2 linked regions of the Stegostoma tigrinum genome follow. The protein of the gene in region 2 interacts with the protein of the main gene of each other region in a biochemical or structural test. Links are inferred from orthologs where the notes say so. Each region holds a gene or a part of one and is shown on either strand. Other genes may lie near its edges.

Region 1 (7,006 bases), on a different chromosome or scaffold from region 2:
ATTTTGATACAACTGTACAGAGTACTGCTGAAACTACTCTCTCCAATATTGTGTACAGTTCTGCACCTTACTCAAGGAGAAGCATATTTGCAGTGGAAGTAGTTCAGGGGAGGCTTACACGGCTGATTCTTGGATAAAGGGTTTAACTTATGGAAGACAAGATAAGCACATTGGCCCCTTGCTCATTGAATTTAGAAGAATGAGAGGTAATCTAATTGAACCTTGTTAAATTCTGACAGGGTTTGACATGGCAGTGGCAGGACTCCCTTGTGGGAATCTAGAACTAAGGGGCAAAATTTAAAAATAAGAAATCTCCTATCTGAAATGAAGGTAAGGAAGAATTTCTCCTCTCAGAAGGTTGCTGGTATTTGGAGCTTTCCACCTCAGCAAATAATGGAGGTTGGGTCAATAAAAAGATTTGAAACTGAACTAAAGATTTTTGATTCACAGAAGGACCATGGGGGCTCGGAGAAAAGAGTTAAAATTATGTCAAATCAGCCCCAATCTTACTGAATATTAAAGCAGGTTTGAGGGGTCAAATGGCATATTTCTACTTCAATTTCTTATATCCTGTTTTACGTACATCATCTAAGCTGACACTTCAATGTGGTGCAGAGGGTATACTACTCTGCTGGAGGTTACACTGTTAAACCGAGTCTTATCTGCCCTGTCAAGCAGATGGAAAAATCCCATGCTACTTTTATGCACAAATTGCAACAGGTTATACAATATTATTGATATGGGCTTCAGGACAAGTCATCTGCCTGAATGCCTGGTTGGCATGCGGTAGAAAGAAAACACATCAAACCAGAAAATGCAAAAGTAAAAAAGTACTGTGCTTAGAAAACAGGCTGAGTTTCATGTGCGGAGATAGCAAGAACTGCAGATGCTGGAAGAACACAGCAGGCCAGGCAGCAGAGGAGCAGGGAACTTGACATTTCTGAAGAAGGGACCTGACTCGAAATGAGTTTGTGTGAAGAGTGTTCAGTGCAGTTAACTTTTTTTCAATAATTGTGGTGCATTTGTAGTGCAATAACATATCTGCATAGGTATATATACTAGAATGGTAGACACTAATAGTCTGTGGTTCTAGGCTAATAATCCAGAGATCATTTGTTTAAATACCATGCCAGCATGAAGAACATATATTCAGCTTATACAAAAGCATGGAACTAAAAAGCTGGTATCAGTAACTGTACCACTGCCATTTTTAAAGAAAAAAACAAATGCTTCAGTAACATCTTTAAGAAATGTTTTCTGTTCTTACCTCTCCTGACTTGCGTAGGTAGATTCATTTCCATACCAACTTGAGTCACTGTGAACTTCCAACAAGTGGCATCACAACTCAATCAGTTGACTCAAACACCATGCAGTATTACAAAATGAAAGCCTTTTATCACATTTCCCAACAAGTTGAAAAGGGAAATATTTCTAACCTACTTAGTAACACCCAGATCAAAAAATGAAAAATAAACTGGATGTAGCAACTTGGTTAGTTGCAACATGATATCCACACAATCCTTACAAATTATCATTTGACAATTTAATTCTGGCTTACAAAATAATCGCTCTGTGATAGTTAACATCCCATTTTGCATGAAAATTAAATTCATTGGGAAGTTGAAGGAGTACCTACCACAACGTTCTGAAAATTTGAAGTAGCTCTTCAATGTCCTCATGCAGTTTTATTTCAGGAAACTGACACAAGGGAGGACAAGTACAGAAAACTCTCAAACATATGAACAGATGGATAAAGATTGTATAATATTTTATTGATTTAAGACCAAGCATCACTTCCCAGCTAAGCAATGCCTCAACTTTTAGGGTAAAGAATCCCAACAGCACATGTAACCAAAACAGACTCACTTTTCAACATTTAAAAACATAATATTGGAAACAAGCTTGAAAGGCAATGCATATTTATTTTGATGCTTGATATTTGTTTCCTTATCATTGTGTTTTTCAAATTACAAAGCAAAGGCCAACATTTGAGGAGCAGCCTTCTCCCCATTACACAGGCATGAAAGTCATGTTCAATGATACTGAATACATGTAGTGCCATTTTTACATGAATATCAAGAATAAATTAATGCCCTAAACATATCAAATAAAAGTTTACTATCTATACTCATCAGTCTGAGGGTTCATTACTGACACTAGAGTTAATGAAGTTGTGAAAATGTTTAGCATCTAAGGCAAGTGCTCTCTATGAAGAGAATTTTGAGACTGTTTGCATAATATCTTCGCCTCAAAGTTTCAACCTAAGATTGTGACATGAACATTTTGAAATGTCATTCTAGCCCTAGGACATGTGGGGAACTACTGCCCTTTCCAAATTGGCATGGCTTTCACATGTTGCTAAAATATATTCAGCACATTGGGTACAAACGGCCAGGCTCGAGTATAGTTATGACTAGAGTTCCTAATTAAAGTAAAATACATGTTAAATCGGACATGGAAGACTTTTTTATTACAAAGCAGAAAGAAGATCGCTTGCAAATGCGGCGTTACCTACAAACAGCGTTACAAAGCCTTTGCCCAAAGGACATGCAAGAGCTGTCAGTGCCCCAACCTTGCATGCTGGTAAAGGTCACTCTCCACCCGCCATTCAACAGACTCCAGCGAGACAAACGCATGGATTCTACTCAAGAAATATAAGTTAACGCCTTCAACGAGCTTTGCTATTCCATGGACTCAACCTCGTGGCAGAGAGGTAGATTACGGACCGTAACCCTGGAGAAGAACAGGCAAACATGATGCCATCCACCTACTCCCAGCCCCGGCCTTTAAACTCAAATCCCTTTCCAGCAACGTCCAGAATTTTCACTCCCGCCTCTCTCCTTGTGAACATAGACTACCTGACATGTCCTCTTCTCGCCGGTGTTACACAAACATACCTCTGAAGAGCTGGGAGGGAAAGCTTCCAGCCGACAATTTCCAAACGAACAACTCAGCAGCACACACTGACCGAAAGGGAACGACTGCACATGCGCTGATGCCCCGGGACGTGGAGTCAACGGCGCGTGCGCAGTCAAGGGGAGGGGGCGGGCGAACGGCGGCGCGTGCGCAGTGAGGGGCGGCGACGGAGGGGAGCGGCTCCAGGGAATGACTGTTGTGCTGATAACAAAGTGTGGAGCTGAATGAACACAGTAGGCCAAGCAGCATCTCAGGAGCTTCAAAATCTCCCCTTCCTCTACTGAGGGCTGGTTTTGGGATGCAGTAGGGGAAGGGGAGATTTTGAATCTCCTGAGATGCTGCTTGGCCTGCTGTGTTCATCCAGCTCCACACTTTGTTACCTTGGATTCCCCAGCATCTGCAGTTCCCATTATCAATGACTGAGCGCTGCTGCGGCACATTTTCAACTGGTCAGTGACAACGTTTGCACCCTGCTGGAGACACATGTGCTTATGAATAAACCGACTGTTGGCTTCGCAATGGCATAGTGAGAAGGGGCGTGTTCCTGCTTTCGATGAAGTATTTCGTAAATGGGTTGAGATGATTCCTAGGTGGAGTTTCAGCAGAGAAGTCGGACAGGGCTGAAGCATTGCGGTATGAGCAAATGAGAAATTACTATTTTAGAATTTATTTTGGCTCAAGTGGGATATGTCTAATGTTACTCACGGACTCCTCACATAGGCAGAATGGGTAGACGTTACCTGACTGTGGCAAGCCAGCTGATAGAGTGAGGGCACAATTACATTTCTTCGAAATAACCAGGTGTAGAGCTGGATGAACACAACAGGCCCAGCAGCATCAGAGGAGCAGGAAAGCTGATGTTTCGGGCCTAGTCCCTTCATCAGAAAAGAGGGAGGGGGAGAGGGGTAGACGGATCGAAGATGGATAGAGAAGATAGGTGGAGGGGAGACAGACAAGCTAAAGAGGCGAGGATGGAGCCAGTAAAGGTGAGTGTAGTTGGGGAGGTAGGGGGGAGATATGTCAGTCCAGGGAGGACGGTCTGATGCCATTTTTTCGAACGTTCCTTTTTCGCACAGTCATTGCAATTGAAAGTTCCGCGATAGACGTGGTGAGCAATAAACCTATCATTCATTAACAATAATGTGTGCTGACTCTAGTCACTTCATTCGGTCTCTACGTACGCATTGCAATAGCAGTCTTTACGTTTTGCAAGTCCCATTATTCTCTGTGTGCTTTGTCGTTGGCTGATCCTGTGATATGTGCTCGTTCGAATGTTGATACTGCTTGTCCAGGGAGTTCCATTCCTGTGGTGATGCTGTTGCCCTGATATCTCTTGTTGTGAATCCGTTTCTGTTGCTGGGTAACAGTGGCTCTCAAGGAGTGATGCCCATTCTGTAGATAATGAAATCGATTCTTCCTGATCCATTGCCTCCTGTGAATGCACAACTTCTCTAGTTGTACATGCATGTTGCATGTTCCCTTGAACAAATTGAGATGACAACTGCTCGTCACAGGTCCCAACTTAGTAATTAGGCTGACTTTTATTGAAAGCGCCGAAGATTTACACACTGACTTGTTCTCTAATACTCAGCTCTGGTCATGCCTTGGCAGTTTTAACTGGTTTGGTCAAATTTGGTTTTCCGCCATTTCACCTTGAATTTTTGTGCATAATAATAATCTTTGGACTGGGTGACTTTCTGTGCCTTCAGTTGATGTATTTTTTTGCTGAAGGATTGCCTTATACAACTCTGCTGAATTTTCTCAATTTCTTTGTGATCCCTTTGATACATTGAACTGCAGCTTCAACCTTTCCATTTTACTCAGGATGGCATGAAATTGTATACTTTTGAATTTTCTAATTCTTTATGAAACAACTGAACACTGAGTAACATTGTTACTCATGACAATATCTGGAATACTGTAATGACTGAAGTGCTTTCAGGCATTCTACAATCTCACTGATTATCATGAACACCAGCTGGTCAAACTTCCAGTGGTCAGAATAGTAATCGATGATAACAAAGTAATCAGTCACTGCAACAGTGAAGACATCTACTTCAGGCTTCACCCATAGTCTGCCTCGGATGTCATGTGTCCTCAGTGTCTCCCTGACTTGCTGACCTTGGTATTTGTTACAAACGTTGTGTTGGTTTTAGTTCGTAATCATTGTTCATGTTTGGCCAGTAGAGCGCTTTTCTTGCCTTCCTCAGACCAGACTCAATCCCTTGATGGCTAGCATGGATGCGGTTCAGTATACTTCTCACTTCCTTAAGGATAATGACTACTTGGTTTGTACCAGATGCCGTACTGGGCTCTTTCTTTGTCTCTCTATGCCAAATAGTCTTACAGCTACATCTGTGTCCTTCATGGTTTCAGGCCATCTTTTCATCATTGCTTCCTGCAGGATTTGGAGAGTTACATCTTGTGTATAATTCACCTTATTTGAGTAAGACCCTTGTAGTTCAGATTCATTGCCTCTGCTGGGTTGCTGATTTCTAGAACAGTTGCTCCATATTGAAGCTGGAAGATTTCACCCTCTGCATTAGCATTCTCAACTTTCTTAATTAAGAATGCAGCTCTCAACAGAAGAGTGTATATCCATTTCCCTTGCTTATATTTTCATGCCCAACTTGTATCTTCGCAAAGTTAGTCGCATTCTTTGTTGCGAATAGAAGCAGTTTGAGGAAGAGCAGTTGTGGCCAGAGTGCACTCTCAGCTTGCCTCTCCCAAATAGTTCTCACTTTGTCAGGTTCCAGGCAAAGTGCATTTACTGTCAGTACAGTACTTGAATTCAGGCATCTTCAATTGCATCTTCTTGTTCAGATTCAGGCACCTGGCGAGCACACTAGCAATTACACCAGATTTTGATCGTAATCTGTGATGGGTTCTTTCGTTCTGTCTCCACAATATGATCAAAAATTGCTTGCACTTCATTAAGGTCACTGATAATCTCACGTTGTCAGCATTGACACTCTTTTGGGACAATGCAAGTGCCTAACAGCATATGCATGTAAATATCTCTCCCAGATGGCATCCAGAGTTTTAAAAGTTTTTAAAAAAAACTTGTTTTCATCCAGCTTCACTTCTTAGTAACCAACCATAGAATCAAAGGTAGTGAATACCTTCGTCTTGATAAGTTGTAGCAATGTTCCTTTGGCTGGCACCATGAAATGATATCACTTCAAGGCTTTGTTGAGATCCTTTGGATCCATATATGCTATCTTCTTTCTAGGTTTGTTTCCAATGTTCTTCTAAAGCAGTTCTATGTTGTCTTTCAGAATGGAACTTTTCTTGACAGGTGCTGGGTTGGTCACCGCCCTCATTTACTTTGGGATAATATTCATTGGGAAGATATCCAACATCTGTAAAAAGACACCTTTGTAATTTTTCAGGATCTGTTCAGAGTTAATGGCTTACTGGCCTGCAAAACCCAGTAAATCTCTTCTGTAATGTTTAAGCTTAGAGTTTAGAACATAGAAGAGTACAATACAGGAACAGGCACTTTGGTCCACCATATGTCAACCATAATGACATTCTGAACTAATCCCATCTGCCTGCATATGATCTGTATCTGTCTATACCCTGTGTGTTCATGTGTCCGTTCAAATGCCTCCTAAATGTTGCTATCATATCTGCTTCTATCACCGCTCCAGGCAGCTCATTCCAGGCGCCTACCTCTGCACAAAAAAACGTATCCCGCATATCTCCTTTAAACTTTTCCCCCTCACCTGAAACCTATTTCACCTTATCCATAATTTTATATACTTTTATCAGGTCATACCTCAGCCTCAAATGCTGTAGCAAAAACAATGCAAGTTTGTCCAACCTCTCCTTATAGTTAATCTGTTCCAATTCAGACAACATCCAGACAAACCTCTTTTGAACTCTCTCCAAAGCCTTCTCTTCCTTTCTAGGATGTGGCAAAAATTAATGCACACAACACTCTAAATGGGGCCTAACTAAAGTTTTACGCAGCTGCCACATGACTTGTCAACTTCTCAGTTTCCAGTAGACAACCTTTCTCGCTATCCAAAACTCCACCAATTTTCACATTATCTGCCAACCTACTAATCAGACCACCTATATTTTC
Region 2 (7,372 bases):
CCCTGCGAATTTGCAGGACACTGTCATCTCATAAGCACTGATGTCATTCAGAATGACATACCATGTTGTAGAATAAGTGTTCGATGAAAAAGCATTATCATTCTCCATGTCCAAACATGACTAAACATTTGTATTCAGTAAAGCTGTAAATTCGCAATTTACGGGATCCAGGCATTACTGTATTCCATTGAGACAATTCAGGATTTTCTCATCAAGGGATGACAGAAGTGTTATTAATATTTGTAGATATGAGTTTGGCAGATAAGATGATTATATGGAAATCAAATATACAATTTGCTCACCACTCTTCACAAAAATTACAGCTACTGCTAAAGGATGTCGGAATTGTAGGCAAAGAACAGGAAACCCTTGTCAAAAAAATCACATTGCATTGTGATATTAGTATTGAATATTGTAAGACACCACCATGCCTGGTTGTAAGCTCCTACAGTCTGAAATTCAATGAAGTAAAAGTTATGGATCTGAAGATATGGGTCAAAGATCAGAACGTCTATTAGATTTTGTAGATATGGTGACCAGGTTTACCATACACACAGTGATAAACAATAAGGGTAGGTGGACGATAGCGTAAAAAGACATGGAAAAGTGGGCCAGTACAGTCCTTGGGTCACAATGGATAATGAAGGTGAATTTGCAGATGACAAATTTGGGGACATGTGTGTGAATACAAATATTGTAGTAATGCATATTGTTGCAGAAAGTCCATTCAGCAACGGCTTGCATGAAAGAAACCATCTGATAGTAATGAGGCTCTACACAAAATATTGACAAATCAGTCAATCAGAAAGTTACAAAAAGCACTGGCAATCAGCAGTAAATGCAAAATGTTCTTTATAAATAGTTGGCAGTTTTAGCTCAAACCACTTAGTACATGCTCAGAATGTTGCCTTCAATACTGCATGATGATCCTAGAATATCTGGCAATCAGCACCAGTGTGAAAGCACTCATTAAAGCTGAAAAGGTTGGAGAGCATTGACATACTGCATCAGATGCTTTGGGAGAGATTTCAAATCCAGTGGCATGGTTTATGATAAGCCAGAAGGACACAGCAAATGCAAAGATCCAGCAAATGTTATTGGATGTGACAGGAGAACTTTCACAGGAATCAAACTATAGGAGTACATTACCCATGGCTAGTGGTGATAAGTTCAAAAAGTCATACAGTATGGAAGCAGACCCTTCAGTACAACAGTCTATGCTGACCATAATCCCGAACTAAACTAGTCCCATCTGCCTGTGCTCGGCCCATATCCCTCCAAACATTTTAAACATTGTAACTGTACCTGCATCCACCAATTCCTCTGAAAGGGGGAGGCAATGGCCTCATACTTTCATTGCTGGACTGTTAATTCCAGTGGCCCAGATAGCATTCTGGGGGCCCAAGTTAGAATCCTGCCATGTGCTCCTGAGATGCTGCTTGGCCTGCTGTGTTCATCCAGCCTCACATTTTATTATCTTGGAATTCTCCAGCATCTGCAGTTCCCATTATCTCTGATGCCATCCTTACCTGGTCTGGCCTACAAGTGACTCCAGACCCACAGCAATGTGGTTGACTCAGAACTGCCCTTTGGTTGATTAGTGACGGACAATAAATGCTGTCTAGCTAGTGATGCTCTCATCATGTTAATGAATTAAAAACTGCTCATTCCATACATGAACCAGTCTCTGTGTAACAATATTGCCCTCGTCTTTTTTTAAAATATTTTTCCTCTCAGCTTAAAAATATGACCCCCAGACTTGAAATCCCCGACTCTACAGAAAAGATAACTGCCATTCATACTGCTTATTATTTTATAAACTTCTAGCAGGTCACTTCTCAACCTCCTACGCTCCAGTGGAAAAAGTCCCACCCTTTCCAGCCTCTCTTTATAACCCAACCCATCCATTCCCGGCATTGTCCTGGTAAATCTCTTCTGAACCCTCTCCAGCTTAATAATATCCTTCCTAAAACAGGGAGAACAGAACTGGACATAGTACTCCAGAAGAGGCTTCACCAACGTCCTGTCCAACCACAATATAACGTCCCAACTTCTATACATAAAGGTCTGAGCAATGAAAGCAAGCATACTAATGTCTGCTTTCTATATGTGACACGAACTTCAGACAATTATTTACCTGAAACCCCTGGTCTCTCTGTTCTACAACACTGCCCAAGACCCTACTTTTAATTGTGAAAGCCGTGTCTTTATTTGTTTTCCAAAATGCAATGTCTCACATTTTTTCAAATTAAACTCCATTTGCTACTCTTTAGTACCCAATGATCTCTTGTAATCTTAGATAACCTTCTTCACTGTCCACTTTACCACCAATCTTGGTTTCATCCATAAACTTATTTAAAGTATTTCATTTATTCAAACTTCGTATTTTATATAAATTTTACATATGCAAAATTAGTATTTCTTCTTGCATATATTCACTCTTAATTCAAAAAAACCTGGTTATATGCACGTTAAAAAAGGAGTCAAGTCCATCTGAAAGATAAAGGGATCCTATGGATCCAAAACCCAGAAGGAGTGGCTGGACAAAGTGAAGCCAAGACATTAAGAGTTTGAGATTATCCAATGTGGGAACTTGCCCAGGATCTGGGCATAACAGGCACCAGGTAACAATGTCAGGATCTGAGAAGATCAAAAGTAATGCCTCAAAAGCACTCAAAATCAGTTAGAATTATTCTTGATATATGACAGTGAGGTAGGGCATTTAACCCAACAGGTCCATACAAACATTTATTCTCTACTTGAGACCCTCTCAACTTCAGTACTCATACAGTTATCTAGTCTCCCATTAAAAACAGCTATCATGTTCTCTTCAAAACTCACAGGAAGATGAATTTTCGGACTCTAAGAACATGGGCAAAGGCGTTGCCGGCAAAGAACCAGGTACTTTATGTACCCGTGAGTTCTACAAATTGGTGCTGAGGGGCAGGACCTAAGGGCTCAGGAAATACACACTGATAAAAGCACCAATCATGATGAACATGAAGAAGTTATCTCATGTGGGGATCATTTTCCCAAAATAAGTTCACAAGTGGTTAACTTGCCACTGATTCAGCTGAAGTAGGGTGCCACAATAGTGGGACGTGAAGGCAAATCTGTGGGAAAATATAAATATTGGCTAAATGGCCAAGACGAGCGACATGATCGATATGATCGGTATGACGGGTCGGCACAACATCGAGGGCCAAAGGGCCTGTACTGTGCTTTAATGTTCTACATTCTATGACATGAGGCTGTGGATTGGTAACAGGCAGTATGAGAATGAGAATGGAGAAACCCAGTTCCAGTTTGAATACTGATTCAGAAAATACATTTAGGAGGATAAAGCCAGATGCAATAATGAGGATTTCTGGCAGACATCCTCATAGGAGTATAGTGCAGAGAGATCCCAATGTTAGAATAGAAACTGCAGCTAAACAAGATGACTGGATAGCAAGGATAATGCAGACCTTCCTGGAACAACAGATAAAAGTCAATGTCCTCATGATCAGAAGATGTTTGCAGCTACAGTTAAATCCCCAAACCCTGACCACCATCTACAAGGCACAAGATAAACTAAACATTGTCTCTTAACACTCAATGGCATTACCATCACTGCAATCTCTACCAACATCTCCTGGGTCACCACTGGCCAGAAACTCAATTGGAGTAAGGTTGTAGGTTTGCTCACCGAGCTGGTGTGTTTGATTTCAGACGTTTTGTCACTCTGCTAGCTAACATTGTCAGTGCACCTCTGGTGAAGCTCATCTGAGCTACAAATCGTCTCAAAAAATTTCAACTGGAGTAAACCCTGTAGCTACAAGGGTAGGCCAAAAGCTAAGGATTCTGCAGCGATTAATTCACCTCCTGGCTCCCCAAAGTCTGTCCAGCACCTACAAGGTACAAGTCAGGAGTGTGATGGAATACTCCCCACTTGTGGATGAACGCAGCTCCAATGACACTCATGAAGCTTGACACCATCCAGGACAAAGCAACTCACTTGATGGGCACCACACCCACAGACATCCATTCCCTCCACCATCAGTGCTAAGTAGCGGCATTGTGCCTTCTACATGATGTTATACAGAAATGCGCCAAAATATCCTTCAACAGCACCTTCCAAATCCACATGAAGACAGACAAGGGTAGAAGATGGATAGGAACACGGCCTGCTGCAACTTCCCTTCCACCCTAACTAAGGTCGTGTTAGCGGGGGGTCGTAGGGTACGGCGCTGCGATAGTGACTGGAGCCCGGATAGGCGGGTAAATGTGGGGCGCAGTCTCCGTGAGCAGGGCGGGCCCAGGAGGCGGTGCCTCATGTGTATTAGGCGGGGCCTATAGCGGGTCGGTGTCCCGGCAGAAGGCGGTGGTCCCATGGGGAATGGGCGGGGCCTATAGTTGGGCAGGGTACCGGTAGAGGGCGGGGCCTTAGCAGGGCGGTGACCCCCGCGGTGGGCGCGGCCCCGTGGTCAGTGGGCGGGGTCTCAGGCCCGGTCCCAGTGGGTGCGGGGGGAAGGGGCAGGCCTCGAACAGAGAATCTCTCGTGTCCGTCATGCCGGCTACTGGGTGAGGTGCCGACGCTGCAGGATGTACAGTAGTGGGGAGCTGGTCGCTGATTTCCTTCGTTATAAACTGTCCCAGAGGGGCCACAACTGGAGATGGCTTTGTGAGCAGAATGGAGCGGCGGGCCTGGGGACACAGCCCGAGCCCGGAGCGGCTGTGTGCAATGGCAGGCCCGAGGCTGAGCGGGCCCGCCAGGCCCTGTTGGATGCCGCTGAGGAGTTCGAGCTGCGCTACCGCCGGGCTTTCAGCGATCTGTCGGCGCAGCTCCGCGTTACGCCGGACACGGCATACCGGCGCTTCGAGCAGGTGGTGGGTGAGCTGTTCCGCGACGGCGTTAACTGGGGCCGGCTGGTGGCTTTCTTCTGTTTCGGGGCGGCCCTGAGTGTGGAAAGCGCCGAGAAGGAGATGGGCGCACTGGTGCCCCGCATCGCCGACTGGATGAGTACCTACCTGGAGAACAACCTGGACCCTTGGATCCGGCAGCACGGTGGCTGGGTAAGAGCTCTAGCCAGCTTCATCCACCAGGTCTCTACATTGCAAAGCCTGGGAATCTATACAGTGTACCTGATTCCTAACTCTAGCCCCACGTCGCTCACCTTTCACACTAGGTCGTTGTCCTGTAGTCCAAGAGTCTCTTTCTATCCACACATGGTATCTGACTCCTTATTCCCTAACCACAATAACCCCTCACCCTCTGATCCTGAACCCTATAAACCCTCATCCTCCACATAGAATCCTGACTGTTAATCCCTAAATCTATAACCCTTCATCCTCTACACAGGAAGTCTGACCACTTATCCCTAACCCTATACCCCTTTCCCCTTAGATACGCCAACCCTGGCTTAACACTAAAGAGCTTTTGGCCCTGACTTCTGTAGAGAGCTGGCAGACACTGGGCTGAATGATCATCCTACTTTCTGTGTGATTCAGAGATTCTACCTCCATGGCAGCGTTGGTCCGAGTTTGCTAATTTCTGGAAAATGTTTAAAATCACTGAATTTAACCGATAAAATGGAGAGACCCCATAATCCTAGCTTGCTGTGATACTCCATCACACTGTTATTTCTTGATGCAGCACATTTGACTTTGCGCACTGTATTGAGAAGGATTTCCACAATTTATTTGGGTAGTTAGCATTTCTTTGAAAGAATATGAGAGCTAAACCTAAACTCTAGCATCCCAGTGAAGTTTGGTATTGAATAGATAGATGTGTTTAATTCTTTAGGGCTTGTGATCTCCAACTTTGTTTTGGTTTTGTGGGCTGTTTTGAAATTGGGTCTTCTGAGCAGCATACCCTTAATTGATGGAGAAATTTTCAATCCATGATCACTTGGACTTTAAATTGGGCCATGAGTGAGAAACTTGCAAAATGCATCAAGACGGCAATGTGCTGGTCAGGTAGTCAAACAGAATTCCATCTACAGAAATGAGAGTTATTAGATTTTGGGAGGGCAAAGAAATAACAACAGCTGATGGGACATTGTGAAGTTTGTGGAAAAAGAGAGACTTTTGAGTACGTTCCACATAATTCTGATTTAAAAAAAACATGAGTAGTCAATAAATTAGCAAAGAATGTGTATGGAATAACTTCCTTATTAGCCAAAGCCTAGAATATTTGAGGGAGGGTGTTTGCTTAAATTGTATATAGCTGTGGTTAGTGCACTGTGTACAGTTCTGTGATCACATTGGAGGGTTACAGAGAAGAATTACAAGGGTGTGACAAGGAGTGGAGAATTTCAGCTATGAGGAAATGTTTCCATTGAATAGAGGCAACCATGGGAAGATTTAATTGTGATGAAAAGATAGACTTGAGGGGTCTAGATTGCGTGGATGGGAAGGTACTATTTCCCTCAACAGCAACTTGAGATCATTGATGTAATTTAGTCAATACAGTGTGGAGTTGGAGGAACACAGCAGGCCAGGCAGCATTAGAGGAGCAGGAAAGTTGATGTTTTGGGTTGGGACCCTTTGCCAGTCCCGATGAAGGACCCGACCTGAAACATCGGCTTTCATGCTCCTCTGATGCTGCCTGACCTGCTGTGTTCCTCCACCTCCACACTGTGTTAACTCTGATGCCAGCATCTGCAGTTCTTGCTGTTTCTCTCAATGATGTAATTTTGTTGGTAAAAGGATTAGAAAGGAAATGAGGAATAATTATGTTGGCCAGAAGATGCTGGGGATTTGGTATTCACTGCCTGGAAGGCAAAGAGGGATAAGCCTTTATCCCGCTTAGGCGTTTGGTTTGCACTTGAAATGCCATAACCTATTAAACTGATCAAGAGCTGGAATGTGGAATCAGGGTGGTGAGCTTTTTTTTTAACAGGACAGAAACGATAAGTCAAATGGCCTTTTGTGCTGTGAATTACAGTCCTAAATTACAGTAATTCTATCTTTTGATCAGAAAGACAGATTTGCATTTCGTTAAAGCCTGCCACAACCTCAGGGTGTCCCAAGCTACTTTACCTCCAATGAAACACTTGGTCATGTATCAGTCAGTTTGAGATATAAGTGAATTAAAGGAGAGAAAAGTTAATTTTTAATGTAGCCCTTGAGACAAGAATGTAACACATCTCTGCAGATGTGAAGAGAGGAACCTCACTGATTGACTCAGCATCTGTGATGTCGTTTGGCCCAAAGTCTGGAGGAGAAGTTGGGCTGTAGTGTGTAAAGATGGAAGTAATTGGTATAATTTGAAATGTGTGTACAATTCTGGTCCGCATCTTTTTGAATATTGATCCATTGTACTCAGAGCTGACCGGTGTGAAGAATGAACCGTATAAACGTTTGTAAGACTGTGTGATTGTTGCGTAGT

The links.
Region 1: the proteins of bcl2l1 (region 2) and voltage-dependent anion-selective channel protein 1 form a complex in vitro, tested with the Homo sapiens proteins (4 studies listed by BioGRID). The link is inferred for Stegostoma tigrinum from reciprocal best matches to the Homo sapiens genes BCL2L1 and VDAC1.

The regions. Positions count from the first base shown.
Region 1 is NC_081366.1:29,524,489-29,531,494, forward strand, and holds the start of voltage-dependent anion-selective channel protein 1, read right to left. Parts: upstream 3,009-7,006; 5' UTR 2,898-3,008; intron 1-2,897. UniProt on the Homo sapiens protein: Non-selective voltage-gated ion channel that mediates the transport of anions and cations through the mitochondrion outer membrane and plasma membrane.
Region 2 is NC_081372.1:57,848,573-57,855,944, reverse strand, and holds the start of bcl2l1 (bcl-2-like protein 1), read left to right. Parts: upstream 1-4,362; 5' UTR 4,363-4,584; coding exon 4,585-5,055; intron 5,056-7,372. UniProt on the Homo sapiens protein: Potent inhibitor of cell death. Inhibits activation of caspases. Appears to regulate cell death by blocking the voltage-dependent anion channel (VDAC) by binding to it and preventing the release of the caspase activator, CYC1, from the mitochondrial membrane.